Tamandua tetradactyla: one gene and its partners. The protein of the gene in region 4 interacts with the protein of the main gene of each other region in a pairwise test. Links are inferred from orthologs where the notes say so. Each region holds a gene or a part of one and is shown on either strand. Other genes may lie near its edges. The genes, in order: DHX15, SAT1, SF1 and RBM17.

The links.
Region 1: the proteins of RBM17 (region 4) and DHX15 interact in binary tests that used the Homo sapiens proteins (3 or more experiments, as listed by UniProt). The link is inferred for Tamandua tetradactyla from reciprocal best matches to the Homo sapiens genes RBM17 and DHX15.
Region 2: the proteins of RBM17 (region 4) and SAT1 interact in binary tests that used the Homo sapiens proteins (3 or more experiments, as listed by UniProt). The two-hybrid records come from large-scale screens. The link is inferred for Tamandua tetradactyla from reciprocal best matches to the Homo sapiens genes RBM17 and SAT1.
Region 3: the proteins of RBM17 (region 4) and SF1 interact in binary tests that used the Homo sapiens proteins (3 or more experiments, as listed by UniProt). The link is inferred for Tamandua tetradactyla from reciprocal best matches to the Homo sapiens genes RBM17 and SF1.

Annotation. Positions count from the first base shown.
Region 1 is NC_135345.1:24,465,348-24,473,354, forward strand, and holds the start of DHX15 (ATP-dependent RNA helicase DHX15), read right to left. Parts: upstream 3,287-8,007; 5' UTR 3,104-3,286; coding exon 3,033-3,103; intron 1-3,032.
Region 2 is NC_135353.1:150,556,121-150,563,472, forward strand, and holds the start of SAT1 (diamine acetyltransferase 1), read right to left. Parts: upstream 3,135-7,352; 5' UTR 2,935-3,134; coding exon 2,869-2,934; intron 2,558-2,868; coding exon 2,506-2,557; intron 2,408-2,505; coding exon 2,324-2,407; intron 928-2,323; coding exon 826-927; intron 728-825; coding exon 687-727; intron 562-686; coding exon 391-561; 3' UTR 1-390. UniProt on the Homo sapiens protein: Enzyme which catalyzes the acetylation of polyamines. Substrate specificity: norspermidine = spermidine >> spermine > N(1)-acetylspermine. This highly regulated enzyme allows a fine attenuation of the intracellular concentration of polyamines.
Region 3 is NC_135335.1:9,769,247-9,776,480, reverse strand, and holds the start of SF1 (splicing factor 1), read right to left. Parts: upstream 3,031-7,234; 5' UTR 2,886-3,030; coding exon 2,486-2,885; intron 1,137-2,485; coding exon 1,008-1,136; intron 1-1,007. UniProt on the Homo sapiens protein: Necessary for the ATP-dependent first step of spliceosome assembly. Binds to the intron branch point sequence (BPS) 5'-UACUAAC-3' of the pre-mRNA. May act as transcription repressor.
Region 4 is NC_135333.1:57,822,174-57,830,256, reverse strand, and holds the start of RBM17 (splicing factor 45), read left to right. Parts: upstream 1-4,866; 5' UTR 4,867-5,091; intron 5,092-8,083. UniProt on the Homo sapiens protein: Splice factor that binds to the single-stranded 3'AG at the exon/intron border and promotes its utilization in the second catalytic step. Involved in the regulation of alternative splicing and the utilization of cryptic splice sites.

The DNA of each region.
Region 1 (8,007 bases), on a different chromosome or scaffold from region 4:
ATGACTCACAAGATCGCACTGATATCATGTATTTGTGAGTAAATATACAGAGATCAAAAAAAATTTTGATCAAAGGATAAGCTAGGGATGGGCTTTCAGGGATTTTTTTTTTTTATGCCTTTTTCTCTATACCCCTAGGTATGGACACTTTTTGTGTTGCCTGGAATAAGCTACTTAACCTCATCTACAACAGAATGTAGTGAAAACGTGTTTGTACCTATAAAGCACTTAAAACAGGATCAAGTGCACAATATGTATTCTATATTATGCTATCATATTTTTAGTATAAGGATCCACTTTTCTACAATTAAAAGGAAATGCTCTTATGCAGAAATAGTATCAGAAACTAAAATCAAAGTGAAAAATATCCCCATTTTCAAAAAGCATTTTTCTATACTTAAACAGGAAACTATCTTTTTTGGTAATAATTCTATATAGAAAATTCTGTGGAATGATAGAAAAAGGAACAACGCCCGAGTATGTAAAATAAACCTGCAACTTCTCTGACCTCAAGATTCAAATAGAGAAAAAGTCATATATAGTTTGGGAGCATGAATATGAGCACGAATCTCCCACCAAATTACCCTTCCTTACCAGAACTGGAGAAGTGGGACAGTCCTGTTGTTGCTCAGTGGAGCTCAAAACATTGGCAAGCCTATACTCTCAGATATCACCACTTATGCTATCAGGGCTTTAAAAAAAATTGCAGGTTAGCATTTGGAAAGACAGTCAATAAAAGTGATTTTTTTAAAAATTACCAAGTGTGAAAAAATTCTGAGCACTAAAAACACTGTAAACACATTTCTAAAGAATGAGATCTTTAAGTATAAAAACTGCCCTCCAGAATTTGTTTCTTAGAATTTAGGCATTATTCAAAAGTTTAATTCTTTTTCATCTACACGTAGACGTTAAACACTATACAGGGGAATCATAAGGTCACAAACATAGGCCCAAACAGTAGGCATTTTTATTAAAGATACCCATTTTGTACAAACCGTGGAACCACTAACCTCAAGGAAAGCATTTTAAACAGTGCACATACACACCAATATAAATACATGCATCTGTTCCTTCCCAGTATAAATGTCTTGCTCCAATGTGAAAACTCGTGAGACACAAGCCAGATGATAAGCAATTTATTTTTGCTTCAGAGGCATCAAGAACCAAGTGTTCCCTACTTTACCAACCCATTATAAATGTCATTAAAGTAGACCATAATGGTTAAACTACAACCATAGGCTGTGCGGTGTAATGAAAAAAGCAACAGGTGAAGAGTAAAAATGAAAGGTCGGGGTGCTGGATCCAGCTGTGCAAACTTGCAAAAGCCACCTTTACTCTGGGTCTCGATTTCTCATCCCTTGAGTAGAGCAGATAACACTATATATCTAAAGCCCCAATCAGGTCTAAGAGTCTGTGAACTTAGGCTCAAATATGCTAAAGTTTTAGTGTTTTTCTACAGCAGATAACACTATATATCTAAAGCCCCAATCAGGTCTAAGAGTCTGTGAACTTAGGCTCAAATATGCTAAAGTTTTAGTGTTTTCCTTCCGGGTGGGAAGGACTGTAGACAAGGGGGAATGAAAACTTATGTCTAATGCTGTAAACTAAAGAATATACAAGATTAAAATACGACATACTTCTGCTTTCGAAATTCAATATATGGGAAGACACCAAAAAGTACTCTTACCTTATGTTAGTGGACATACACACTAACATAAATATATGCATCTGTTCCTTCCCAGTATACCTGGCAACCAATCCAGGTCAAGGCTTCGGATTAACAAAAATTCACAAAAACTATATAGATAACTTGACAGTAATTCTGTGCACACATACAGTAAAATTACAAAATTATGCAAAGTATTTGTATGTCAGGCTTTCGTGGTTTTGCGTGAATTATCTAAAAATACATTTTGGTACTTCGGGAATGAAAACACACAAGACAAGTAATAACTCTGATGCAATTGCTAAAGTTTATTGTTAAATTCTTATGTACCTTTAAGAAAACGCAAATTAAAGTAGGTAGAAACATGATGAGTCTGTAAGTATTTCAACCCTCAAACTAACTCCCGAGCGGTATTTTGCCATAATACAAAAACCATTTTTTCAAAAGGGTCTCCGTATTACAAAACCCTCTTAGGAAAGGAGAAGAAAACATCGACAAATAAGAACTCACAGGAAAAAAGAATGCCTTCTAATTCCTACGCCCTTTGGATGCCCAATAACTAAAGCAGGAAATAAAGGAGATGGCGGGAGGGTTAGCAGAGAGCGGAAGTTTGCCTAGTTATCTACTTCGAAGTGTTTGAATGGACCGAGGCACGCTCTCTCCCGCCAAACTGTGAACTGCAGCCTTCTCGGTCCCACAAGCCTTCCCAGCCCGCCAGGTATACACGACATTTTCCTTTCTCACCACAGGCCCTCCACTCTCCCTCCCCTGAGAACTCCTCGGCTACACGCCTCACACTCAACTCCCGCCACCCCCATCCCAGCCTACACAAGAACCCACGCGCTTCTCTCACTTCCCACCCTCCGCCTCTCCCTTCCCTCAGCATCCAACTGCCTCCCCACCCCCACCCCAAAGGCCCTCTCCCCGACCCTTCTGCCTGAGAATTACCTAATGCCCTTGGAAGGGAATTCTCCCGCCGCACCCTCCCCCCACCCCTCAGCTCCAGGCCTTACCCAAGAACCGAGGCCACGAGGTCTGCAGTTCCCTCCCGCCCCCTTCGAAATGACTCGCTCGGTTCGACCCGGCAGAGGAGGCGCTCTCGTGGCCACAACAGGCCTCCATCCCCACCCAACAAGGCCGGGCGGCGGCCCAGACACACACACATTCCCCCCGCGCCCTTGTCGGGCCGAACGCTGGGAGTGGCGCGGCTCCCACTGACCCGCCGCTGGTAAGTCGAGCTCATAAAGAAACAAAGGCTAGGGCTCCCGGGCCCGCTCGGCCTGGCCGGCTCTGGCCCGCTCCGCGCCGGCCCGCCGCGACCCCAACAAAGCCCGAGCCTCTGCCTCGCGCCGCTGGCCTGACTTACCCATCGGTCCCCGCACGCTTCTTGCCGGAGGGGTAATCCTCCCCCAGGTCCAATCGGTGCCGTTTGGACATCTTCGCACACTCTGATGGGGCAGTTACGAAACAAGAGAAAAAGAAGAAGCTGGCGGCTGTAACGGCGCAGTCGAGGACAGCTACTTAACTCTCAAGGACCCCCACCCCTCCCGCTACAACAGCTTACACCGTGCGGCCGGAACCAGGAGCTAAAATGGCGGCGGCGACGAGGGCTGGGCCTGCGCGCGCGCCTCCGCGGCGTGCGTGCTATGCGTGTATGCGTGGTGCGCGCGCCCGCCTCCCAGAGGCGGCAACCTAGGCTCCGCCTGCCACCTCAATGGTTTGCTTTCTCTTCCCATACCCCGTCGTCTACTTTCCCTGCGCCTTCTTCGTTCTGTGAAGCCACCGGAGGTCTTTACTCGCTGCATCAGACTTCCCATCCCCCTCTGTACGAGGACAGTCTAGTCCTAGTTGGAAAATCCTACCCGTTTGTTTTAACCTTGCCTGGGAAACAGATCTAGGGAAGACGAGACACTAACCAAGATCACACAATTAGTGGCAGAATCAAGATCGGAAAGCAACTCTTTATAACTCCAAAGCTAGAACTTGCAGCCTCTGCACCACATACTCTTAATTGCAGTGAGGAAATTGAGATAAGAAAATGTCATGGCTTGCTATGGTCCATTTTTCCCTTTCTTTACCCAGCACAGGCAACGTGTGTTTGACCTATAGACATTTTGCTGTAATAGAGGAAAGTGGCAGTAAGGGGATAATTCGCATTTTTTCCCTAAATGCATATTCTGTGCTTGCCACAGAATTAATCATCTCTCTATCTCTCATTCTTGCAGTTATCCTGCAAGATGAGTGTTGTTTTATAGATGTAGAAGCTAAAGCCTGAGGTGGGGGTGGGGAAGTTTAGAAGCATACTCAAAATCGCACAGCCATTTCGCTAAAGGAATAGCAAATTGGTACAGCAAGATAACTCACTTTTTACGGTTATCAGAAAGGGAGAGACAGACATTAAACAGCTAAGCACATAAATAATTCTGTCCTTAAAGCTGTGGTGAGTGGTAAGGAGGCCCACTAAAGATGACAAATGTTATGAGAGCATATAACCAGTGTCCCTCATCTAGACTGAGAGGGTTAAGAAAGATCTCTCTAAGAAAGTGACATTAACAAAGAAGACCTAAAAATGGATATGAATTAGCCAAAGTGGGAGAAAAGTGTTCCAGGCAGAGGAAACAACCTAAGCAAAAGCCCTAAGTATGCCAGAGTGAAATAGTTACTAAGGCCAGAAAACCCAGCAAATGAATATATTCCACAGAGTTCAAAGGATACATTGCCTACCACATCAATAAAGAATGCACTGGTGGGAAAGCCACCAGCTCCACTCAGAAATTCAGTGGTGGCTTTCTCTATAGTCTAGGGCTAATCGTGGAAGATCCCAATACAGAACTGGGCTCCCTGAGAGCAGGAAGGATGTTAGCACCACATAACTTGGAGGTCACATGGTGGCACTTAGACATCAGAACCTAGGTGGATGCTACAAGGTAGGAGTGACAGACAAGGGGGCCTAAACCACAGAGGTCATAGGGACAATAAATAAAATAAGGCGTGCCTAGAGCTAATAGGTGGGCATCAATCAAAGGAAGTCCTCAATCTGTACAACCAAAGTAAATCAAGAGTGGTTGATCAAGATATTGACAGTAGTTTCCCCACTAAAAAGTCATGATCCCTTGCTCAATTTCTGAACCTGAACCAAAGTTTGGACCTGGAATACATTGACTGAAGGAAAGGCTGGATCCCCAGGAGAAAGGACGCTGTAACACCATAACAAGTTGTACACAGAAACGATTCCCCCAGTCCTTTCCCGCAGGCCATTTAATTAGGTAGCCATGCCAGGGAAAGGACGAATATTTCAGGGACAATTGAATATGGAATCTGAATCAACACTGATATACTGTGACACCCAGAGTGTTATTGCATGCATATGGTAGTGAGAGCATATAAGAGTCTTGCATGGAAGTCTGTCTCAGACCCAGCTCACAGTAGGTACACTGTGTTCTCATACCCACCCAGCTTTCATGTTACCGATCTCTAAATATATGCTTAGAATAGATGTCCTTGATAGTTTGCACAACCCACATCTTGAATTCTTGACCTGTAAGAAGTAAGAGAGCTATAATAGTGGGGAAAGCCACGTGGGTGCTTATGAAACTGTTCCTCCTCCATCCCAGCCAAGATACTAAACCAAAAACAACCTGGGGAGGGATTTCTGATTTCAGCTCCAACCGTTAAGAGCTTGAAGTCATTACTCCATCTTTACCAGAAGAAAAAGCTGAGCAAACTGAAAATTAATGATTTTTCTTGAACCCATTAGAAATTGAGTCTGCAGTGTCAACCACCACCTTGAAATCAGGAGGAATGGGCAAATTCAAAGAGTGACAGCCTAGATTCGTTTACCTAGAGTAGAAGCCACTGGAACCACTGGTAGAAAACCTAAATTGTAATTTTGGAAAATTGCTAGAGGCTGAGTGTGGATTAATTTGAGAGTAAGAAATTCCTGAAGACTTCACTCTCAGGAGAGCCCTGACATTTCCATGGGTTTTATCTCCAGTAACATTCCAGGTTATCACAATGAAGAGCCAAGAAAGAGGCCTTGTGACTCTGGCAGGGTCAGGGAAGAGTAACCATGATGAAATATGCCCAGATCTTTCTCCATAACAGGGGCCTACTCTTCAGGGACAAGGCTTAACCAGAACCTTATCTCAGCTAAGATAAGGTATTTCTCCCTCTGAAGCCCTCTCTAACCTTCCTGTTTTACCTAAGGGGGGAAGGGAGCTAAGAAACACTTGTAAAGTTCCCAGCTCAGTGACACAGACACTTTAAAGACTGAGATTTAATAGTAATATTATAGAATACTCTACCTTCACAACCCCTTCTCATCACATCTGCAGGGTTTACAAGAGTGGGCTACAGCTGAAAAGACTGCAAGGTGCAAATTCCATATTAAAAATAGTTCTTAGGTAAGATCAGAAATCAACAGTGGAGACTAAACAAGGACACCTGAGAAATTTGAAACCTCTGTCACCTACAGCCACAGCAAACATCAAACACAGCCCCACACATAGCCAAATTAACATAAAATCTCACACTTTAACTCTTTTTCTGTGGCACCTCAGGAGGCAGTCAACTGCCTCAGCATGAAATCGAACATCTTCCCAGCCACTGGCTGCCAGAAGCTCACTGAAATGGACGATAAACGCAAACTATGTACCTTTTATGAGAAGCAAATGACCACAGAAGTTGCTGCTGACGCTCTGGGCAAAGAGTGGAAGGGTTATGTCATCTGATTCAGTGAAGGAAACGACAAAGTTTCCCCATATAGCAGGGTGTCTTGACCCATGGCCATGTCCACCTTTTACTGAGGAAGGGGCACTCCTGTTATAGACCAAGGAGAATTGGAGAAAGAAAGCACAAATCTGTTCAGGGTTGCATTGTGGATGCCAATCTAGGTGTTCTCAACTTGGTTATTGTAAGAAAAGGAGAGAAGGAAATTTCTGGACTGACTGATACTACTGTGCCTTGTCTCCTGCGGCCCAAAAAAGCCAGCAGAATCTGCAAACTTTTCATTCTCTCTAAAGAAGATAATGTCCACCATTATGTTACGAGAATGCCCCTGAACAAAGAAGGTAAGAAACCCAGACCAAAGCACCCAAGAGTCAACATTACTCCATGTGTCCTGCAACAAGCATCAGCTGACATATTGTCCTGAAGAAACAGCTTACTAAGAAAAATAAGGAAGAGGCTACAGAATATGCTAAGCTTTTTGGCCAAGAAAATGAAGGAGGCCAAAGAAAAATGCCAGGAACAGATTGCCAAGAGATGGAGGCTGTCCTCTCTGAGAGCTTCTAAGACTGAGTCCAGTCCAAAATAAGATTTTCTAAGTGTTACAAATAAATAAGATCGGATATTAAGAAACAAAAACCCCTCACACTTTAGCTTAAGGCCTTTTTAGTTCAATTCCTATTACCCAATACATTATGCTAGTTTTCAACAAAAAATTATGAGGCATGCTAAAAGGCAAGAAAAAAAACAGTCTGAAGAGAAAAAGCAAACATTACAGGCAGACTCAGGAATTTAGAGTTATCAGACAAGAAATTTAAAACAACTATGAGTACGACAAGCGTGCTAGTGGAAAAAGTAGACAACATGCAAGAACAGATGGGTAATATATGTAGAAAGTTAGAAACTCTAGAAGAAAAGCTAACGGAAATTCTAGAAAACAAAAACATTGCAATAGAAATGAAGAATGCCTTTGATGGGCTCATTGGAAAATGGGATATGCCTAAGAAAAGAATCGGTGAACTTGGAAATAGGTCAATGAAAACCTCCCAAACTGAAATGCAAAGAGAAAAAAGAATGAATAAGACAGAACAGAATATCCAAGAACTATGGAACAATTTCAAAGTGGGATATATACATACTGGGAGTACCAGAAGGAAAAGAAGAAATATTTGAAGTTATAATGGCTGAGAACTTTTTAAAATTAATGAGAGACACCAAATCACAAAATCAGGAAGCTCAGAAAACATCACACAAGATAAATACCAGAAATAAACAGCAAGGCATATCATATTCAAATCGCAGAAAAGCAAAGACAGAGAAAATCATGAAAGAAGTCAGAGAAAAAAATAGAGAGAAACAAGGACAAGGCTTGCAGCAGATTTCACATCAGAAACTAGGCAAGCAAGAAAAGAGTGGAATGAAATAAAGTTTGACAGGAGAAAAACCCTATATTTAGCAAAAGTATCCTTCAAAATAGAGGAGATATGAAAAGAATAGAGGAGATATGAAGATCTCTTAGTTAAATAAAAACTGAGAGAATCCACTTCTAACAGACCTATCTTGCAAAAAAAAAAAATATTAAAAGTTCTTCTGGGAGAAGGACAATGATGTAGATA
Region 2 (7,352 bases), on a different chromosome or scaffold from region 4:
AAGAAATAGGGGATTAATAAAAATGCTCATACCAAACAATTAAATCAAAGGGCAGTTTATTATAAAAGAATCAAAACAGAAACTCTAAGTACCAGTGTGTACATTGTACACATTTAAATGACTCACAAGAGTGAAGTTTTTTTCATATATATTAAGATCACACCACCTTGTTTAATCAAAAGATGTTCAAGGAAAACTATGACTCCAAACTGCATACACAATTGCCATTTTAAACAGACTGCATTTCAAACATGCAACAACGCCACTGGTAATAAAGCTTTGGAATGGGTGCTCATTCTATTACTCTACTACAAACAGGATAGAAAGCAAGACAGGTTGAAAATTTATTCTAAGTAGAATGGAACTTGTCATTGTCTACATTAGCACTCCTCACTCCTCTGTTGCCATTTTTAGTAAGTACTCCTTGTCAATTTTGAAGAGTCGCCATCCTTCCTCACTGGACAGATCAGAAGCACCTCTTCTTTTGTAAAAGTTGATAGATGGTTCATTCCATTCTGCCACCAAGAAGTGCATGCTGCTGCAGCGACATTTCATCGCAACCTATTATAAGAGAGAGTAATATAGAAACTCAGTGACATCTTATCTGCTCTCCAAGACCCAATTTTGATTCAGTCATTAAAATAATCCAGTAACCCTTAATTTGGAAACCCAAAACTAAGACATACCTGGCTTAGATTCTTTAGAATTTCTGATCCAATGCCAAAACCTAAAAGAAAGAATACAATTTTAAAGTCATTTTAAGGACTTAAAGCCCTAAATTTCCCCTTAGAACTGCCCCTGACCCAGCCCCAAACTCAACCATACCTCTATAATCACTCATTACGAAGAAGTCCTCAAGATATAATAGCTTGCCAATCCATGGGTCATATGTAAAATAGTACATGGCAAAACCAACAATGTTGTGTCCTGCAATTAAGAGTATCATATGAGTAATGGAGAAGAAAAATAATCCATCAAAGTTGTAGCTGCAAAATTAGAAGCCTATCATAGGTATAAAAAAACATACATGCATAAATACTGAAGAGTAGCCACTGAAATGGACTGTCTTTTAACTTTTATACTAGTGCAGTCCGGGCCACTGTTGGATGATCTCACTGTTTTCATAACATGTATTTGCAAAAGCACACATTAAAGCTAGTTGAAGCCAGGCTAGGTCAGGGAACTAGCCACTCTGAGATCTGCTGGATCTCACTCAGGAAGTGAGAGTGCTTTAATTACTTGCCAGAGCTAAACTGCTAGGGTCTTAAACGAAACACACACATTATTTACATCCCACTGATATACTGGTATGTTGACTTGAAGTAAGTCAGATTTACACGGCAGTTCAGAATAGTAAATACTTGTACTTTTCGAAACTCTGCTTCCTTAAGGTCAGAACATCAGGCCAAAAACTCAACGTTTTCATTTCCAAACTTGCCTTCCAATTCACACATTTTCAATTTGTTCTCCCCAGTTTTGAGGCCAGAAGCAGCAGTGGTACCCAGAAAAAGCTGCTTTGACATTCACATCTAAAAAGTACTTCATCCCTCCTATTTTCTGCTCATTTCTTCTAGCTTGGGGAACAAACTTCAGAAAACATTTAAGAAAGCTTCCACCCAAAGAACTTCCCCTTTTTAGCTCTGTCTTGTGACCAGTTAACAGGGACCAGCAACAAAACAAAACAAAACAAAACATCTGACTCCCTCTTATGGGTGTCTATAACTCCAAAGGGAGGCAAAGGTTTCAAATTAAAACTTTCTAGCCATTTTATATTCCTTTGCAAGCACAGGAAGCAAGTGTAATGGAGTTTCTGATCTACCGTGTTTTAAGTGTGTGATAATAGGACCTTACCTCATTTATCATGATCATCTACTTTATTGTGTAAAGGATCTTTTAGTTACCTCCCCGCCCATCCATGTACACGGAAGGGCCATGTACATGGCGAAGCTAGAGACTGTAACCTGAAGATTGGGACAAATTAAAGAAAAAAATGTGATTTAACACAATTACAAAAAAAGGTTACGTTAGGGTCAAACAAGAACCATTTTATGAAACGGAATTACAACAAATGACATTATACCTAACTTTTGCGGGTTTCCGCAGTGCTCTGATACTTAAACAGCTCTTTCACCCGCCCTATTATTAAGTGCAGCACATCTCCGGTTTTTTTTTTTCTTTTCTTTTTTCCTCAACACTGGCTGGCTATTATTCCTAACCGACTTATCAATAAGTAACTCGACCTGTGTAGTCAGTGGCTCTACATAGCAGGCGCTACGTTTTACACAACACTCGGTCTCTGACTGGCAAGGGGTTGGGTGGATACCTTCCGGGGTCCAGTACTCTTTGGGCACTTCTGCAACCAGGCAGTGGTAGAAGGGGTGCTCTCCGAAACCATCCTCTAGCAGATCTGCAAGAAAAAAGGGGCAGCAGGGACAGTGTTGGCCTCGGCGAGGGTGCCCGGCACTGGGCGTTCGTCTCCTCCCCTCCTCCCCACTGCCGTGTTACCTTTTTCAGTTAATAGTACTTGCTCTTCCATGTATTCATATTTAGCCAGTTCCTGGGGCGAGGCAGAAAAGAGAAAGGGAGAGATGCAGAAAACAAAGTGAGGCTCCGGCCAATTCGGGGAGGGGCGGATCAAGTCGAGGGAGGGCGGACGACCAGTGAATGAGGCGGGGATGGGAGGGGTGGCGATTCGTCCCCCTGAGTCCTGCCGGGCCAGGACTGGGGGAGGTGGGCGGAGAATGGGGCAGCACTGGCTGGACACCAGCCCAGGCTGGGAAACGCGGACCCTCCCGGAAACGGAGCGACGCCCCCCCTCGGCCCCCGCCTCAACCCTCGCCCCGGGAGGCGTCCCTGGCCTCCCGCTACCTTGATCAGCCGCAGGATGTCACTGCAGTCGGCGGCGGTGGCCGGGCGAATCACGAATTTAGCCATTTTCGTCTTTTGCTTCTCTTTCCTTTGCGGACCAGGCCCCTGTACTTGAACAGCAGGAGGAGGTGGTTCCTCATTCGTCTCCCGGGAGCTTCCTCTTTCTAGTCAGGCTGGCACCATGACCCAGCGAACCAAGGTAGCGGCGGGGGAGCTTCCGCGAAGCTGCGACTTGAAACTGCGCGTCCCGGCAGTGAACCAGCAGAGCTTTTGAGCGCGAGGAAGCCCCGCCCAGGGCCGTGAGGCGAAGGCACCTCGTCCAATGAGACCGCGGTCGGCCCCTCGGCCCCGCCCCCCATCCGCCTCTCCCGCTTCCCTGGGGCACCGTTCCCTTTTCCCGGCATCGCCCTGGTGTCTGGAGGACCGTGTGAACGCCGCAGGCCTGAGCGGGGGTGGCGGCGGAGGGGTGGTGAAAGGATTGCTTGGCGGCGCCCTCTAGTGGTGCCGTGTGTTACCTTCCCCGAGACCCGACCACGGGGTTCGTGCGCCCCGGGGTAACCTTTGCAAAAGTGAAGAAAGGAATTCACCCTGTCGCCCCCAACCTTCTTTGCAGTCGGTGAAGCAAACCCAAGAGACCTGGCCTTGGGTAGTTGGAGAAGAATTAAAGCACGGCACTCAAAGTGTGGTCCCGGGACGATGACAAAACTATTTTCATAGTAATAGAAAGACGTCATTTGCTTTTTGTTACTCTCACTGGAATTTCCCCGGCGCCACCTGATCTGTTGTAGTCATACCTTTGATGACTAAAGGAATGGGTGCTTGTATAATCTTGTGTTTTCTAGAAATTTCTAAGGTAAGCTATTTGGGTTCCTCAGTCATTGTTTTCTTATACTTGTAAATTTTTTTTAGAGTTAACAAAATGGTTTCATTCTTACCCCCCCCTTTTATTCCTTCTTAAATCTCTGACCTTCCCGCTGGAAACACTTTCGTTCTCCCTCAGGTAAATTCTTTATATTTCCTTTCGAACGTTGTCTTTTGTCAGACTTTCACAGTTTTGTCTAAATATGTCTTTAATTCATCTTAAAATTCTAGAAGGATTTTTTGGTCACTGCTTATAGAATTTGAGGTTAGATGTTATTTTCTTTCAACATAGTGATATATCATTGGACTATTTTCTGCCTTCCATTGCTGTTGAAAAGTGCGTTGTCACTCTTTTAAAATTAATACCTGTTTTTTTTTCCTGCTGAGTATTTTTGTGTCTTTTATTTGTATCTGGTGTTCTTCAGTTTCTCTCTGATGGATGTTGGAATAGATCTTTAGAAATTAAATTTTTCTTTGGATTCATTAAGTTTTTTGAATCGACTGACTAGTGTCTTTTATTAATTTTGGAAAATTCTTAGGCAGTAACTCTTCCTATATTACCTCTACTCCATTTCTCTCTCCTTCTGTAACTGCAGTTAAAAATATGTAATCCTATATTTAGGAAATAAACTTTATTTCATCCTCTGTGCGTCTTTAATTTTTTTTAACTTTCTGTTTCAAAACAAGTATAAATTCACAGCTGTTTGATGTCATCAGCACTCTGATAACTAAGGAATATGTGCTTGCATATTCTTCTTATGTTTTCTAGAATTTTCAAAGGTAAGCTCTTTGGGGCCCTCAGGTTTTAAATGCCATGGTAGCAAAATGTTTGAGAACCCCTGGACTAGTGTGTGCTGGTTTGAAAGGAAGTATGCCCCCTAAGAAAAAGCCATGTTTTGATATAAATCCCATTTCTTAATGGTAGAATAATCCCTATTCAATATTGTATATTTGAAACTGTAATGAGATCATCTCCCTGGTTGATGTGATTTAGTTAAGAATGGTTGTTAAACTGGATTAGGGGATGACATGTCTCCACCCATTTGAGTGGGCCTTGATTAGTTTCTGAAATCCTATAAAAGAGGAAACATTTTGGAGAATGAGAGATTCAGAGAGATTCAGAGAGAGCAACACTACAAAGCAGAGAGCCCACCAGCCAGCGACCTTTGGAGATGAAGAAGGAAGACACCTCCCAGGGAGCTTCATGAAATAGGAAGCCAGAAGAGAAAGCTAGCAGATGATGCCGTGTTTGCCATGTGCCCTTCCAGCTGAGAGAGAAACCCTGAACTTCATCGGCCTTCTTGAACCAAGGTATCTTTCCCTAGATGCCCTTGATTGGGCATTTCTTTAGACTTGCTCTAATTGGGACATTTTCTTGGCCTTAGAACTGTAAACTAGCAACTCATTAAATTCACCTTTTTAAAAGCCATTCTGTTTCTGGTATATTGCATTCCAGCAGCTAGCAAACTAGAACATAGTGCATCGTTTTCTTCTGGGTTGTACTCACTGAACAAGAATGCGAGCCTCTGCAGAATGAGTTTTCTTTTACACACCCACCTTTCCAAGCAGACCCTGCTGAGAGGCCTGTTCCAGCAGCCCTGCCTGGGCTCAGCCATGAGTTAAAGGATGATTTTCGCAATGAGAAAAATCATAAAAGGGGCCTGCAGTGTCTTCAGTCTGTAGGATGACAGGGCAGACTATTACTAAGTGACCACCCTAACATGCAAGAAGTGATTCTCTGCCTTTGCTAGCAATAATCTGCATGTAGAAAAGGCAAAAATATGTTCTCATCCTACCCTCCCAGGATTGCACGCCCAGTGAATCACCATGGGAATTTGTGACATGTCTTTCTCAAAATTCTTTAAAAATAGGATTGATTCTCATCTGCCTAAACTACTGCTGGTAGGATCTTTCCTGACACTATGGGCTACACCTCATGGATGACCATTCAGAAGCCCTTTCCTCCTCTGCTTCTGTCTAAAATATTATAGGATTTAGGGGAACTTACTACAGATTTACTGATAACAGTGAGTTAGACCTCCATGACTAAGCACTAATGATGGCTGCCTAGTTGGAGCAAAAAAAGACCATTTCCTATTTGGGTTGTTTAGTATTTTAGAATAGTGTTTGTCTTATTAAAATGCATTCTTATTTCTTTTAATGTATTTTGTTTTTCCAGTTTAAGTTTCATGCTCTTATGCATCGCTTTGTCCTTATGACAAGAAAAGCCCATTCTGAGAAACACGTGGCTAAAAAAATCCCATCGTGAGTGTGTCTGTGCATCTGTAGAAGCTTAGAATCCTAAGTAATTTGAATTTTCTTCGTGGCAGTGATTCAAGTTGTGCTTTTGAGATTTTTAGATTAATTTCATCATAGATAGCAGCAGTAGGGATGAACCATTACTCCCTCTTGATACCAGGATTTATATTGAAACCTGCATAAAAAGGGATTAACTACCAAGCATTTGGAAAACTTTTATTTGGTTAATAAGTCCACGAATCAACAGGTTTTAATGAGCACATATCAGACTTGTGCTAGGTACTTTGAAGTTATAGAGGATTACTAAGTTTTGAATCCAGTCCTCAGGGTATACAGTTTAATTTTGGAGACATGTGTGTAATTTACTACAACAAAACTTAATCTTCGTGAGGAAAAGAACTGTAACTGAGGAGGACCTAGTGAGGGGAGAGTACAAAGGGATGGAAAAACACCTAAGCACTTTTCTAGGCATTTTGCATTCATTGTCTTATTTGATCCTTACAACTATCTTGTGAAGTAGGTAAAGTTATCTCCATTTTTGCCGTTGAAAAATACAGGCTTAGTGGGGTCAAGAAGTTGTCAAAGCCAGGAAGTGGAAGAGCTAGAAAAGAAGGAACTCTGTTCATTTTGATGCCAAAGTGAAACTGTCCAGCCTGCTCCATTAAATTATTGTGGAAAGTGTCATATTTTTCTTTATGTTATAAAAGTAATGCATACTGATTTTTAAATTTTGAGATATGTAGAAATACAAAAGGCTTACAAAAATTAATCTGTATAATTGGTTGATTTTCTTCCAGGCTTCTTTTCTAAGCACAAGGCTGATATTCAGGTAGTATATACAGTATGGTGGATATAAAATGGCCATAAATTCATTGTAACTCCTCTCATCAAGAGGTGGAGTGTATTTTCCCACCCCTTGCTTTGGACTAGCTCTGTGACTTGCTTTGACGAAGAGAATGCAGTAGATGTGGTATTGCATAGCTTCTAAGCAAGGCCTCAAGAGATCTTAGAGCCACTGCTCACACCCTTTCAGAATATTGCTGCCATATGAAGAAGTTTGAACTAACGTCCTTGAGGATGAAAGACCCAAAAGAGAAAGGGGTCCAGCTGAGCTAGTACCAAGTGCCGTAAGTATAAGTAAGGCCATCTTGGACCATTCAGTTCCTTCTTTTTCTGCCATACTAGTGCACTCAGCTCTGCCTTCCAAAAAGTACTTACTGAGTCAACTAGTATTTGACCTCATACTAAAGGTTGTCATTCTAAGTCACTTGCTTGGATGTGAGACTTTGCTCTCCCTTTCAGATTATGAGTATGTACTCTCTCTATGAGGGGAGAATGTATGTGATGAGCTTTGGATCATTTCA
Region 3 (7,234 bases), on a different chromosome or scaffold from region 4:
TCAGTAGTCTAAAAAACATAGGAAATGAGGATTCTCAAAAATAACATGCTGGTCTTGAAGTTTTCTGACAGCCACAGAGCTTCGTAACTCTAAAAGTAAAAGGCCTTTGCCCTAATTTCCTCACAAGGGGATGTTTATTTGGTTAGTAGAAAATCATATTTATCAAATAAATGTTGCTAAGACAGCAGCACAGGTAAACGTAAAACTTGCATTAAAACCCTTGTAGTTAAAAAAAAAAGGTAATCCTGAAGTTAATTTCCATTAACTGTGGACAGTCACTCTTAAATCTTGAAATTTCCCAACAATTAAGATCTTTTATCCTACCACCTCATTTCATTTCGAAGCAGTATCCCTTTTTCAGAAGAGTCCTTTAGTAATGATACAAGAGCCTTCATTTTAAGATAGCTCTCCAAAAACCACACCAGAAAAGATGACAGGAAGGTCAACAGAATGGTAAAATGGGTGAACTGTAAACACACTTTCAGAGTCACTTTTTGTTCAAACTGAGTCCCCCCCTCAGAAAGTACCTATAAAAAGTAAAAGACCACATTTTAGGGAAAAGGAGGAATATGAAATTATGGTGAAAGGCCATGCTGAGTGAAAAATTACTTGAGTTTACAATACCTGCAGTGTTCGCCACTGGGGCTGTGTCCAGAGGCACAAGGCACTCACCTCATCAACTGGTAAGGAAACTGAACAGCAGCTGAAAAGGATGGGGGGTGGGGGAGGGGGGCCTTCTGGCCTGGGAACTATTCTCACTCCTAAGTGGGCCCCTCTACCTTCCTGGCACTCAAGGAGAACAATGGTGTTAACAGACCAAAACAAGGAGCTGCAAATGCAGGACCCACTAAGTAAAAACTGATGTATTATGTGAAAGTCTTGAAAGTACACCTGAACATAGCGCTTTCTCAAAATAGAAAACTTTAAAACCTCAAGTTTCCAACAGACAGAAATATTGCTCTGAATAACAGTATGAAAATGCATTTGTATGCAGAACGTGTATTTACCTATATAAGCTCTTTCTTGTTCCCGAGTAAGTCCAGGGGGGATAACTGTTGGCATTCCTGGGATCACTGTCTTCTGTTCCATTGTGTCCTGGTTCCAGCGGCTCCTCTTCCGCTTCTTACTTGGGAAATCTAAAAGGAGATAAAATCCATCAGATGCAAATATAAACCAGCAGAGTAACTACCAATAGGCAGTTAAGGATACTTAGGATATTACACAAATCTCGGTAGACTGTGAAACTGAAATGTTAACCAAAAATTTAATTAGCAAAGATAAACCTCATAACTCAGATGCAAACATATGGCTTCTGCCTGGATCTGGGTCAAAAGAAGTAAACATTTCATGTTTAGAATTTTCCTCCATAAAAACAATGTAAGGTGTGTATACAAGGTAACAAATCTAAGCACAAAGTTTCAGATAACAAAATAAAGTGTTGAGAAAATACACACTACATCTGTCATGAAGTCTTGAAAGGCCCCAGGGGAAAACAAAAGTAGAGAATTAGGAACAAGTTAAAGCAATATTGGAGAACTGCTGCCTCCTCCCATCTCCACCTTCACCAATCTCTTCCTGAATGCACCCAAAACACAACCTACCATAACACACTAGTAAAGGAAAAAGCTCTATTTAGATCATTTTTTTCTTCCAATGGTTAATCAAGACTAGCATTCAATTTTCCCTGCCAAGACCTTCACAATTTGAACTCTGAATAGATGTATTACAAACTCAACAAAAGTTATCAAAAGTAGCCAAACACTGTTTCCCCCACACAAAGGCAGAAACTTCTTCACCACGCAAAAACTATTTCCCAAAGGACACAGGTCTCCAGAGAAGACCCTTTAAAGGAACAGTAAGGGAAGGCGGGGCAATCAGACACAGAGCTCTGGAGCAAATGAAGTGAGAGACTAAGAAATAACAGCTAAGGCAGAGTGGACCAAAGAATCTCTCCCCCCACCACCAAAAAAAAAAAAAAAAATAGAGCCAAAAAAATCAACATCCCCTGACTCCCAGCCCTTTTAATTCTTACTGTAAGGAGAGTGGCCTTGCTCGCTTCCCTCCCTTTCAGGCCACTTATTAACGTGCCCAAATTCTAGGACCAGGAAAGGAACGTTCCCCGTTGTCAGGTGGCCATCCCACGCCTACCCGGCCTCCACACCCAGCACCCCGCCACACCACGGGTCCCTTACTCTAAGGGCCTCCCGTTTTTCGAGTTGCACTGCCAGGCCTGGCTACCACATTGCGCCTGCGCACAGCAAACCTCTCGTCCACCCCCCCACCCTTTCCGCCTCCCATCAGCGCGCTTGCGCGCTACAGGCTCCGAGTACTGGGCCGCGCGCTCCCTGCAGCGCCTCCGCCCGGGTCTCCTCGCGCGCGCGCGCGCGCGCCCCCGCCGCGTGCAGCCACCGTCGCCACTGCCGCGCGCCCCTCAGCCGGCCGGGCCGGTCCGCGCGACGCCTCTCGCGCTCTCGGCCCGACTCACCTCCTCCCCCGCCGGCCCGGCCGGCCTGCTGGTCCTGACGCGGCGGCTGGGGTGGCGGCGGTGGCGGCGGCGACACGCGCTGGTAGAGCGGCGGAGGAGGAGGAGGGGGCGGCGGCGGAGGCGGGCACGAAGAACCGGGAGGCGGTGGCGGCTGCTGGGGCGGCGGGGGGGGCGGCGGCGGGGGAGGCGGCGGCGGTAGCGCCGCGAAGGGGAAGGCCGCGGTCAGGGCCCCCATCGATCCCACGGGCGGCGGTGGCGGCGGCCCGGACCCCGGCAGTCCCGCCCCAGGCCCAGGGGCAGGCGGCTGCCCCGGCTCGAAGGCCCCCTTGGACCCGGGAAGGGGGGGCATGCCGGGGGGGGGCAGCTTACCCAGCGGCGTGGCGTTCGCTCCGGTCGCCATGGCGCCCCCGGGGACCGGCGCCTGCGGCTGCTGTTCCTCAGCGGCGGCGGCGGCTTCTTCTTCGCGAATCTCCCGGGGGGAGGGGACCCGACTGCGCTGCCGCGGAGCGCGCTGAGCCCGTCCTCTCACGCGGCGGGCGGCGGGCGGCGGGCGGCGGCGGCGGCGGCGGCGCGAGACGCACAAAGAGGGAGGAGAGAGGGCGCCGCGGGGGCGGGCCGGGGGCGACGGGGCCGGGGCCTTGATTGGCCCAGACCGAGGCCAGGGGTCGGGATCGGCGTCCCCGGATTGGCGGAGCCCTTGCCTCTCTCGATGTGCGCTGGGATTGGCCGAACCGTTAGGCCAAGAAAGGAAATGGCGGCGGAGCCTCGTGAGCTGAGAGGTGTCGCGGCACTCACTTCATTTGTTACTGCGCGAACTGAGCCCCGAGTCCAGGAAAGAAGGTGCGGGGTGGGGCCAGCTCTGTGACGTGAGGCTGAGGCGCTCCCTCATTGGCTAATATTGATTGAGTCAATCAAACTAGGTTGCGTCGTAGTGTCGTAGGATTGGCTGCAGCTCGTTTGATTCCTTTTCTTCTCCCCTCCCCCAGGGGGCAGTTTCGGCTGGATTGGAGGAGAAGTCGCGGCGGAGGAGCCCGGGAACGAGACTCTGCGGGGGGGGGGGGGGGGTGGAGCGGAAAGGACGGGGGCTGGAAGTGCGCAGGCGTCAATGCCGGGGCCGCCTCTCTGCCCCACTCCCTTTGCGGTCAACCCCGGGGCCTGGCGCGGAAGCCCTCGGTGACGTCAGGCCTAGATCCCTATGGTAACCCGGAACCGTGGGGCGCGGGGAGGGGCCGGCGCGGGCCCCAGCCGCAGATCCGTTGACGCTGCTGGTTAAAAGGAGATTTAAAAAAATAAGTAGAAAACAACAACTTTTAAGTCTTGGTGAAAGATTTTAAACAATACCTGAGCCGATGCAAGAATGTATAACCTTGGCTGGAAGACACTGTAAAATTGTGATTCTAAAATTAATTCACGAATGTATAATCTTTCCACCAAAATCCCAACTGGGTTCTTTTTTGGTGGGGAGGGAAGCGGGATTTGATAACATCACCTTAAAGTTATATAGAAGAGTGACTGAAAATCGTGGTTTCCCACTTGTCGAAAATACTGAGGTCTTGCCTTCCAGATTGTCAGCATTGGTATATAAACTCAGGAGTGAAAACAATTTGATGTTGCGTTAACAAAGTGGAAAGTAGTAGAGTCCTGAAATAAATTTCCCCAGATAGCGGTAGAAATACCTGAGGTAGTATTTCAAATCAGGCAGAAGAAGATTTAGTTAATGTATGGTATAGTCTTAAGTATAAACAATGATCAAACATCTAGAATACAACTTAGCAGATTTATAAAAATATTCTAGGAGTTGACTTTATGAAGACAGGAAACTTGGAAACCATAAAGTAAAGATTAAAAAAAAAAAGACATACTTGATCAAAAAAATATAAAACTTTGTATGGTAAAAGTCAATAGAAAATTTACAGATTAGAAAAACCATTTGCCACACGTATGACAGATAAAGAACTAGTAACTCTGAAAAAAACTCAAAAACTTAATCAGAGAAAGTGAGCAAAGAGCCTGAATGGGCAGTTGTCAGATGGACAAGTCCAGAGCCGGTAAGGACTTTATTTGAAAGGATCATTGCAAGAGTATAGGAAAAGAGAATATACAACAGGGAGAACACTGACTGCCGGTTCAGCAGAGTCTCAAGAGTTAGGCTAAGAGGCTTTCCGAGAGAGGGGTGTAGACCCAGGTGTGGGGAAGTGGGATAAAAGAGTGGTGTAATCAGAGAATGGAGGCGAAGGCCAGCCTGTTTCCAGGAAGGACTGTGCTAGCTCCGGCTGAGGATGGGCTAAAGTTCAGGGTGCTGGAGGAAGAGAGAAGCTTAACCAAAGTTTGGTTAACAGGCATTTTGTTCTGATCAGTCCAGCGATGAATTGAAGAATGAGAATTTGGAGAGTCTGTGTCCGGTCCCCCATACCATCTGGGAGTCTTATCTAAATCACTTCCGGAAGGGGGGTTCTTTGCAGTGAGCCCTTTTTCCGGAGCACAGAGTGGGGGGATTTCTTAACTTTTGCTGTTTTCCGGGATCACAGCCCTCAGGTAAGATTTGGCATCCTCACAAATCTCTAAAAAGCAGATAGCCAAGAAATGTGAAAGGGTTGCAACAGTCCTAAGAGGGAAATGCAAATTATGGCGACAATGAGGCTCTTCATATAAATAGCAAAAAAGGAAGGTGGATAAATTTCCTTTTTTTGGAAACCAGATACCCCCCTTTGAATCCCATAGAGAAGCATGTGATTGCATCATGTGTTCAAAGTCATTCACTTCGAATTGTTTGCAGTGGCAAAATCCTGGAAACAAAGTGATTTTCCAGTAGTATGTGAATGGTTGAACAAACTGGACTATCCACAGTCTGGACTATTAGGCAGCCTTGAAAAAGAGTTAGTCACTACCAACTGACTTGGAGGGCCTTTCCTGCTGAAGTGTTATTAAATGAGAAAAGCAGCATAGAAATATATATTCCTTGATCTTGTTTTTGCAAAACAAACCTCATACATGTGTGCAAGGGCATTCGCACAGGGTTCTGTATAGGAAAAGCTAGTGAAGGATATACAGCACTGGTTCTCAGTGAAGATGCAGGAGTGGGGGGAGAAGTGAGCCTGGAAGTTATCTAACACATTTTAAGAGCCCAATATAGTTTTTTTTAATATGCTTCATACTTATAGAATATGTGTGACACTAGTCCATTTATATAGCATTGTATAACTCTGTAGGCATAGATTCACAATGGACAGTCCCAATCTCTAGTAGCACGAATCTCACGTAACTTTTGCTTTTTTCCCTTATACTTTATTATTTTTATTTTTGTAAGGAGCAAGTATGATTCCTATAAACAAAAAAAAAAAAAAATGAAGCTAATATTGCAGACAATAAAGGGGGGAAGTGATGTTTAAATTGTTTTGAAAATGAAGGGCGGGCCACGGTGGCTCAGCAGGCAGAGTTCTCGCCTGCCATGCCGGAAAGCCGGGTTCTATTCCTGGTGCCTGCCCATGCGAAAAAGAAAAAAAAAAGGTTTTGAAAAGGAAATATTTATCCAGTAAATACAGCACACTTAAGAAGACTGACCAGACACAGTATTAGCAAGGAGAAACTGGAACTCTTCCTACACTGCTGGGTGGGAATGTAAAATGTTGCAACTGCTTGGGAAGACTGTTCAGCAATTTCTTGAAATACTCCCCTGCAATATGACCCGGCCATTCCACTCCAAAGTAGTTACCCATTAGAAGTGGAAGTATATATTGACACAAAGACTGTACATGAATGTTCACAGCAGTTTTATTTGTAATAGTCCCAAACTGGAATCACTCCCAGGTGCCCATCAGTAAGCGCTGGCTAAACAAGCTCCATGCAATGGAATACTACTCAGCAGTAAAAAGGAATAAACCATTAACACATACAACAACATGGATGAATGTCAAAATAATTATGCCAAGTGAAAGAAGCCAGAGAAAAGTAGAGCATGTGCTGTATGATTCTATTTATATAAATTCTAGGAAGTGCAAATTAACCTATAGTGACAGCAGATCACTGGTTTCCTGGAGACAGGGAAGGAATGGGGTAGGGATTACCAAGGGAAGAAACTTTGGGGGGTGATGGATGTATTTCATTATCTTGATTATGATGATGGTTTCATGGGTGTATGCATATGTCAAAACTCATCAAATAGCACAAGGCTTACTGTACATCAGCTATGCCTCAAAGCGTTTTTTTCTTTTTAAAGAAATAACAGCAGCCACAGGGCAAGGGTTCTACCCACAATTCTGTAAAGCAGAGCACAGATGTGATTCATAGGTGATTTCATCAGTCTTTCATCATCTAAGAAAGGATTCTTTTGGTACTTTTGTTTTGTTTTAGCCACTATAGGGTTTTGTGGGGGGGTTTTAGTTATTTTTAAATATTTAGAATTGCATTTTATTATATCAGATGCATAACAAGAGATGTGTGGTGCCCCTGAGGGTCAGGAACTTAGTTACAAACTGAACCCCCTTGAACCTGCCACCCCACCCGAGAGCCGAGATACTACCAGTAGCTTTGCAAGTTCCTGGGTCCTCCCTCCTCCCATGCCCCAGTGCCCTCTGAGGACCACCACCGTGAATTTTGTGCTTTGCTCCTCCTTGATTTAATAGAGTTTTATCATGGTGCATGGAATACCAAACAATACATGGGTTAGTTTTGCTTTTTAAGCTTTATAAAAATGGTGTCAAAGCACGTATAGTTTTGTGCAATTTGCTGTTTTAATGCAGTATGACATTT
Region 4 (8,083 bases):
AGGAGATAAGACCCAGAGCACTAAGTCTCCACAGGGAGCACAGCAGCCCCAGAGCCACCCAGACCTCTCAGAGTCCCCTTGGACAAGAGATTAACTTTTCTTGTCTTAAACTATTGAGGTTTTGGTGTTTGTTATCACAGTATGATCTAGCTCATCTGGACTGATGTGGTGTACTGTGTGGTCTGTAAAAAGAATGAGGTAGATATATATGTGCTGAAATGGAAAATATCCAAGATATCTTAAACGAGAAAAAGTAGAGACATAACAATACAGAAAATTATTCTAGTTGTGATTTTTGTAAAAGTTATCTATGGAAAGAGAAAGATTTCCAGGTGAAAGAGATTCAAAGAGACATGCAACTTGGACTGGATTTATAGCAAAAGAAAACTTCTTTTTTTTTTGCTATAAATAACATTAGCAGGGCGGGCGATGGTGGTGCAGTGGCAGAGTTCTCGCCTGGCATGCTGGAGACCTGGGTTCGATTCTCCATGCCTGTCCATGCCAAAAAAAAAAAGAAAAAAAAAGGACATTACCAGGACAATCTGTGAAATTTGAATAAAGTCTATAGATTAGATAATCACATTACATGAATGTTTGTTTCCTGATTTTTATAACTGTACTTTGGTCATATGAGAAAATGTACTTGTTTTTTTAGGAAACACACTGAAGTATTTAGTGGTAAAAGGGCATTACATTTGCAATTTACTTTCAAATTGTTCAGAAAAAAAATAGAGAAAGAAGATGGTACAGTAAAATGCTAATATTTGGAAGTCTGGATGAAGGGCTTATGAGTTTTTGTGTTATTATTATTGTTTTCTATGCCTGAAATGATTTCAAAGCAAAAAGCTAAAACTCTCATACACACACACACACACACACACACACACACATGCTATGAAACTATAAAGTATAATGATCTCTGGGTAGGTGGATGGTGGAATTCAGAGGTAGAAGAGAGAATTTTACTTTTCTTTGGATACCTTTTTATTCTATTTGAATTCCCCAGAGTTAGTAAGTGTTTATGGTTTTCAGACGCAAAGTTTGAAGTCATTTGTTTTGTAGTGATAATTGTTCTAATACCAAGGGACTCCTACCAAAATAGAAACTGCTGCAGGAAAAAGATTAAACCTGAACCCAAACCAAAAAAGTAAGTGCTTTAACAAAATGAAATTATAATGAGAAGGGAAATTTCAATCATAAAGTATGACTTTCAAACTTTCAAATAAACTAAAATAAAATTAGAAAAAAAAAGAATGACTTCTCTTCTTTCTCATGAACCAAATTTTAAGTGTCCTTAAAAGTTTAGCCCAAGGCTCACTTTTTCTCTTAAGTGTCAGTTGAGTCAGAGACTTTGGGGTGAGATAGATACCGTGTTCTCATCATGACTCTACCACTTGCTAAATGCCCCTGGGAATGTCATTTCACCTAAGTAAGCATCACTTGTCAAATGGGAATAATACAATCTCACAGAACTGTTAAGAGAGTTATCTAAATAAATACCAGGGCCTCCTCCCCAGTCTGCCAGGAACCTCTTTTCTTTTCCTCCAGGTCCAGTTCATGTGTGAGGTAACCAATGCCCAAGACAAAAAAAAAAACACTGACAAAAAAAAAAAAAAGATTATTATACTTTCCTTTTAAGAGCATGTACAGGGATTTCCATGGTGTTTGTGGTAGATGGAATTATGGACCCAAACAAACATAGGTTCTTAATCTTAATCCACACACCCATGGGTGTGAACCCACGGTAAATAAGACCTCCATCTATTTCTTCTGTTCAACAAATCTCTGGCCCCCAGGAAGGAGTGCTGTCCACAGCACAGTGGGTTGTCCATCTCCTGCTGCAGACTGGGTAGAGAGACAGCTAAGGACCTACCTTCACTCATACTAAGCGAGATTTTAATCTCCTACTAGTTCGAGCCATTGCCTGCATTTCTAAAACAAAGTTTCTTCTACTGAGACTTTGGTACCACCCTTTCCCAGCCTTTTCCACATCTCCTTGCCCACTGGCTTTCCCATGAACCCACAACCCAACTCTCTCTCTCTCCCTAGTTGTGTTACTTCTGGCTATTTCCTTAATCTGTCTAATCCTTTCTTTCCATGCCATCTTTCCCTTCCACCAAGACTGAGAGCTGCTGAGGTTGACCACCTGCATGAGCAGGCTCCGACAATCAGAACAGCCCTTTAAGAAAATTTTGGGTTTCACAGGTGAGCCTGAACCCAAGAATCAGACCTATTTATAACTCTGAACTTAAGCCTGACTAAATTTGAACCAATAATCTGGATTTCATTCCAGAAAAGCCTCCCCAACTTTAGGTCACCTCTGAAATGGAGTTGACCTCCATAAGCCTTAGTCTCCAAGTCAACCCTAGAAATAAATCCTCTGAACCCAGGAAGGATCCCTCCAAAATTGTGACTGAGCACTCACTGTAGCCCTGAGCACTTTGTCTTACTTTACTCCCGAGGCTTTTCTCTGCTCTAAAAGAGGGCAGATCCCCAGCAACCCTGAGACTGGCCTCAGCCTAGGACTGAGAACTTCTGTCCCAATGTACTTCTTTGTGCTAATATTTTATTTAGGATTTTTGCATTGAAAATCACAAATGACAAAAGAATAAAATTTTCTTTGGGCTGTATCTGTTGGCTTTAAACAAGGCATTTGGAAGTTTTCCTCCTTAGTTTGCTCAGTAACAAATAGCACAACAGAATTTGTTGTCCCTAGGCGTCTGGTAAAATTGCCCTGTGGATATATCTGGACCTGGTACCTTTTTGGAAGGTAGTTCTTTGCCATTCTCTAAATCTCCAGTGATGATTGGTCTGCTTAAATTTTCTAACTCTTGTAGCATCCATTTTGGGGAAATTATATTCTCCTAAAAGTTATCTATTTCATCCAGACTTTCAGATTTGTTTGATAAAACTGAACAAAGTCATCTTTTAAGATAAGTTACTTTTCTCTGTATTTGTGGTGAATTCCCCTTATCATCCAATATTTTGTATACTTGTGCTTACTCCCTTTTTTCTTGTTTAATTATCAGCTCATCTATTCATTTCCAAAGAATCAGTTGTATTTATTGCTTAATTTCATGTTTTTCTGGTTTATATACCATTATTTTTGCTCTCATCCTCATTAATTACTTCCTTCTGCTTAAAAAAAATGATTTTGTTGTTCTATTTCTAAATTCTTCCATGGGTGCTTCATTCACCCAGTTCATTCTAATTTTTTAAATTAGTGCAAACATCTAAAACCATAAATTTTCCTCTTAGTATTGTTGTAGTTAAATCCCATGAGTTCTAGTATGTCATTTTCATTTCTGTATTCTTCTATATATATTACACTGTTTTGATTTTGTCTTCCTTTTGACCCAAATATTATATAAGCATTTTTAAATTTCCAAGGAGTAGGATTTTTTTCTGTTACTAATGTCTAGTTTTACTGGACTGTGATCAGATAATATCGATATGGTTCTACTCATTGGAATATATCAAGTTTTGTTTGTGGCCTAAAATATGGTCAAATTTTGTGGATATTCCATGGATGCTTAAAAAGAAGCAGTAATCTCTGTTTCAGGGTACAGAGTTTGATATGTTAGATTTATCATATTAGCTACATTTTTAGGTCTTCTCTACCCTTATTTACTTTTGTGCCCTTAATCAGTCATGGACTGTACCAGTGGTTTCCATCTATTAATTCTCTTTACATCTCCTTTAGTGTTTGCTATGAATAATGCAATTATGTTCTTTGATGCACAGATTCTTTTTCCTTTACTGTGAATTGTACCCCCTTATATTTATTAACCTCCTTATGTTCCCCATCCTGAAATCAAGCTTGTGTAAGACTAGGTTTGTGATCCCTGAATTCTTTATTTCTGGTATATCTTTTCCATTCTTCTATTTTCAAACTTTCAGAATCCCCTTATTTTAGTATTCCTTCTCAGATACAATACAGAATTGAGCTATGTCTTGTGCTCCAGTTTGAAGTTGCATTTTTTGATAGGTGAGCTTAACACATTCATGTTTACTAACATGAGATATTTGGTTATAGTTCTGTCATCATCTTATACTTTCTGTTTTGTAACTTTTTCAAATATCTCACACTTGATTTTGTTTGTTTTGTTGTGTGTTGCTTGATAATTTAAAAGGTTTGTGTTTTTATTCTGGTTTATCATTATATCAATGACAAGATGTTCTTAATCCTCTATTTAGAATCTCTATTGACTCCCTACCTTACTTCTTTCTTTTTCGCCTTGCCCTCCCTTTTCTTAGTCACCGGGTTTTATATGATTATATCTTATCTTTTTTTAATGTTTCTTTGTACTAAAACATATGCTTAAATCTATTATTTGATTTAGCTTGAAATATTTTGACCCCCAATTATAAGTCTGAAAATAAGCATATTTACACCAAACCCCACTTTCTTTTTCCCTTCCAACTTCTGTAGTCATGTAGTTTTAAAATTGTGAGGGACTATAACATTTACTTTCATTTCTGCAATCCCAATCCTGAGGCTTATAGGCAAATCAATTCAATGCTCACTGCCATTTATTTTGCTGTGAATATTTCCATTCATCTCGTCTATGGTGATTTATTTTTAGTTCTTTGCATTAGAATGGAGAACCAGAAGAGATTCTCTCCTTTACCCTGTTAGAAAACAGTTAGCTATCGAGAAGATCGCGGTTGTCCTGGACCATTTCTTCTTCTGCCCATCTGGGGTCACTGCCACTTTCTTCTACTATTTAGATTTCAATAACTTGCGCCACTGCGACACCTTTTGGTGAAAGAAAGAGACGCTGGCGGAGGAGGGAGAGCAGTACCGACCTCCCACCGAGAGGTGCCGCTGCAGACGCGGCGCCGTGGCACAGGCGTCCCCTCTCTACTGGCGGCGCACGCTCCTTCATCCCCGCGCCGCGGAGCCCCTCCGGATTTGGCGTAGGAGTTGGCGCTGACTCCGTGGCCCGGTGTCGTCGGCGGGCTTACGCAGGGTGCGTCTCCTCTTCTGGCCGCCGCGCTTCCGGGCTCGGTACGGAGCTTGCGCGTCTCGGCCCCGGCTCCGTGGTGCCGCCACTCCGGCCCATGGGGAAGGTCGTCTGGGCGAGCCGGGTAAGTAGCCCCCTCGTCGCCACCCCGCCGGCCTGGCTGCGAAGCTGGGGCGGGAGCGCCAGCCAGGACCGCGCCGGACGCGAGGCCGTAGATTAGGCCGCGCCGCGCAGGGGGCGGGAGGGTCCGACATCGCCAGCCCCAAGCTGAGGGCGATCTCGTCCTCCAGCTCTCAGGCCCCGGGTTCCCTGCGCTGAGCCCATTCGCGCCTTGCCCCTGGCTTCGTTCCCAGAGCTGCTGTCGGGAGCCTCTGGCCCGGTTCTCCTCCTCCTCCATATTCTCTTCTCTCCGCCTCCAAGCGCAGCACCTTTTCGTGCGTTTGCCACTTTTTTTTCTCATCCTCCAGTCCCAGTCTTTCGTACTCTTACTCTCTCCTTCCTGTTCTCTTTTATCTGCCAGTTTCAGTCTTTCGGGGGCTAAAGAACGTTCCTTCTCTTCGTTGATCATGTGTGAAAAAGTTTGTCGGTCCCTTGACCCTGTTTCCAGGGCAATATGTCACCTGTGCCCAGCACTCTTGTGTCCCTCCAGGACTCAGGAAGTGGAGAGGATAAAACCCATTTCCTCCCAGAACTTCGAAACTGGGAATTCCAGATGTCAAAAAATTGGAACCTACCTGGGCAAGTGAAGAAAACCATGACTTCCCCGTTACCTTGGTCCTTGTCATTTTACAGTGGACTTGTAAATTGTCAGGTCCTGGTTTTAGCTCTGTTGTTCAATCATCAAACATTTTTCGAGCATTTACTCTTACCCAGACAGTATGTTATCAACTGTGATCTACGAATATGTCGCTACTTTCATGAAATGTGGTCTCTAGAGAAACTAGGCATGAAAACCCTACCTGGGTTGATCTGAGAGACTAGAGTGGGATCTGGAAAGACTTTCGAAGTGGAGCTGATACTTATGCTGATTCTTGAAGGGTAAATGATATTTTTTTAACCCACAAGGAGAGGAAAAGGTTTCCTGCAAAGGAAACAAGTGCAAAAGTACCAGAAAGGCGAAGCACCATAATACTTGGGTAACTGCGGGTAAGGCAGAGAAAAAAGTTTGAGGAGAAATTATTTGGAAGGTTAGTCATGTCAGACCATGAGGGGGTCTTTGAGAAGTAAGGGAGGACCATCAAAGGTACTTGTCAGATAAGCCAGGTATGAAGTTGGAAAATAGAATATTGAAGATAGGATAAGATTCTACATACACTCAAATAGACCATGAGAACCTGTGTCCCTGCCACAGGTAAAGTTTTTAAACACTGCCGGTCAGTTTCTACATTTTTGCTACAAAAAGGCCACACATTTTGAGTATAATAAGGATTTTTAGGGAATATGGAGTAATAAGTTAGTAATGCAAACCAAGAGTTTTATGATTAGAATTTATTAAGCGGTGATTAGGTACTGCAGAGAAGAGTAGGTTGTGATATTAACAAAAACGTAAGATGGAATAGAAGTTAATAGTGAAGAGCGATTCTGATTGTGAAGTTCTGTGGCAACTAAAGATAGCCTTTATGGGAAATAAGAATTTTCAGAGAATTGTTAAATGTCCCCCCAAAACGTAACTTATTAAGGTGATTCTTTACCCTGTTTTAGTTTATCTTCTTATTCTTCCCTGCAAGTGAATTCTTCAGACCTCCCCTTGCAGGGAAACAGATGATCCAGGGTTAGTAATCCCTCAAACCTTTCATAATAGTAAGTGATAGAAGATACTCAATTATACACTTTAATTCCAGGTGACTCTAGTGGGCTTTGTCTGCAGTGTACTCCAGTCTGTGTCATTTTGGTCAATAAGTCTATGAAAATGAATGGAAATATTAAACAGAATGAACATGTGAGAGTGGGAGGTACAGGAAATTTCTTTTAAACTCCTTTAAAAAGTTATCATAAATGGGGCAGTGTGACGGTGGTTCAGTGGCAGAATTCTCGCCTGCCATGCCGGAGACCTAGGTTTGATTCCTGGTGCCTGCCCATGCAAGAAAAAATAATAAATAATAATAATAATTAATGTTATACATGAGGCATAAACCTTTTATAGCTGTATTTTTTGTGGACAACAAAGTGCATCACCCCTCATGGTTTCCTTCTTGTTCCTTTCTGTGTATGCTTGCTGTATTCTTCAGGCTTCAAAGAGGAGGCTTTGGTTTTATGATACATAAATATCTATGTAGTGATAAAAAGGTTTCTTGCCAAACCTTCTTTAGGTGTTCAGAACTCAGACCTTTGTTGTGGGTTGTACAGTAGTAGTAGTTTTTCTCACTTTAATTATGTTAATACAGTTTAAAAGTCATCAAACATATTAAATTTCATTTCCTGTAAGATATGTCTTTAAATACAGATCTGCAGATCTTATGGATGTTAATAATGTGATTTAAATAGATGCTGTGGTAGTTAGGTTCAGTTGTCAACTTGGCCAGGTGAAGGTGCTTAGTTCTGTTGCTGTGGACATGAGCCAATGGTATGTGAACCTCATTTGTTGCTCATTACATCTGCAGTCGGCTAGGAGGTGTGCCTGCTACAATGAATAATGTTTGATTTAACTGACTGGTGCTTAAATGAGAGAGCACAACGTAGCACAGCCCAAGCTCAGCATATCTTATCTCAGTACTCAGCCCAGGCCTTTGGAGATACAGAAAGAAATCACCCCGGGGAAAGTTGTTGGAACCCAGAGGCCTGGAGAGAAGGCCAGCAGAGATCACCCTGAGCCTTCCCATGTAAGAAAGAGCCTCATTTGAAAGTTAGCTACCTTTCCTCTGAAGAACTAAGGAAATAAATCCCTTTTTATTAAACGCCAATCCGTCTCTGGTGTGTTGCATTCCGGCAGCTAGCAAACTAGAACAAATGCATTAGCATTTTCTATCTATTCTGTGATACATTTAGAAAATATTTATTAAGTGCCCACAATGTTCTGACCATGATGCTAAACTGGAGATACAAAGATGAAGACAAAAACAGCCCTTTCATTTACAGGGCTTATAATGTAAGACGAATACATAAACCTGTAGGCAGTG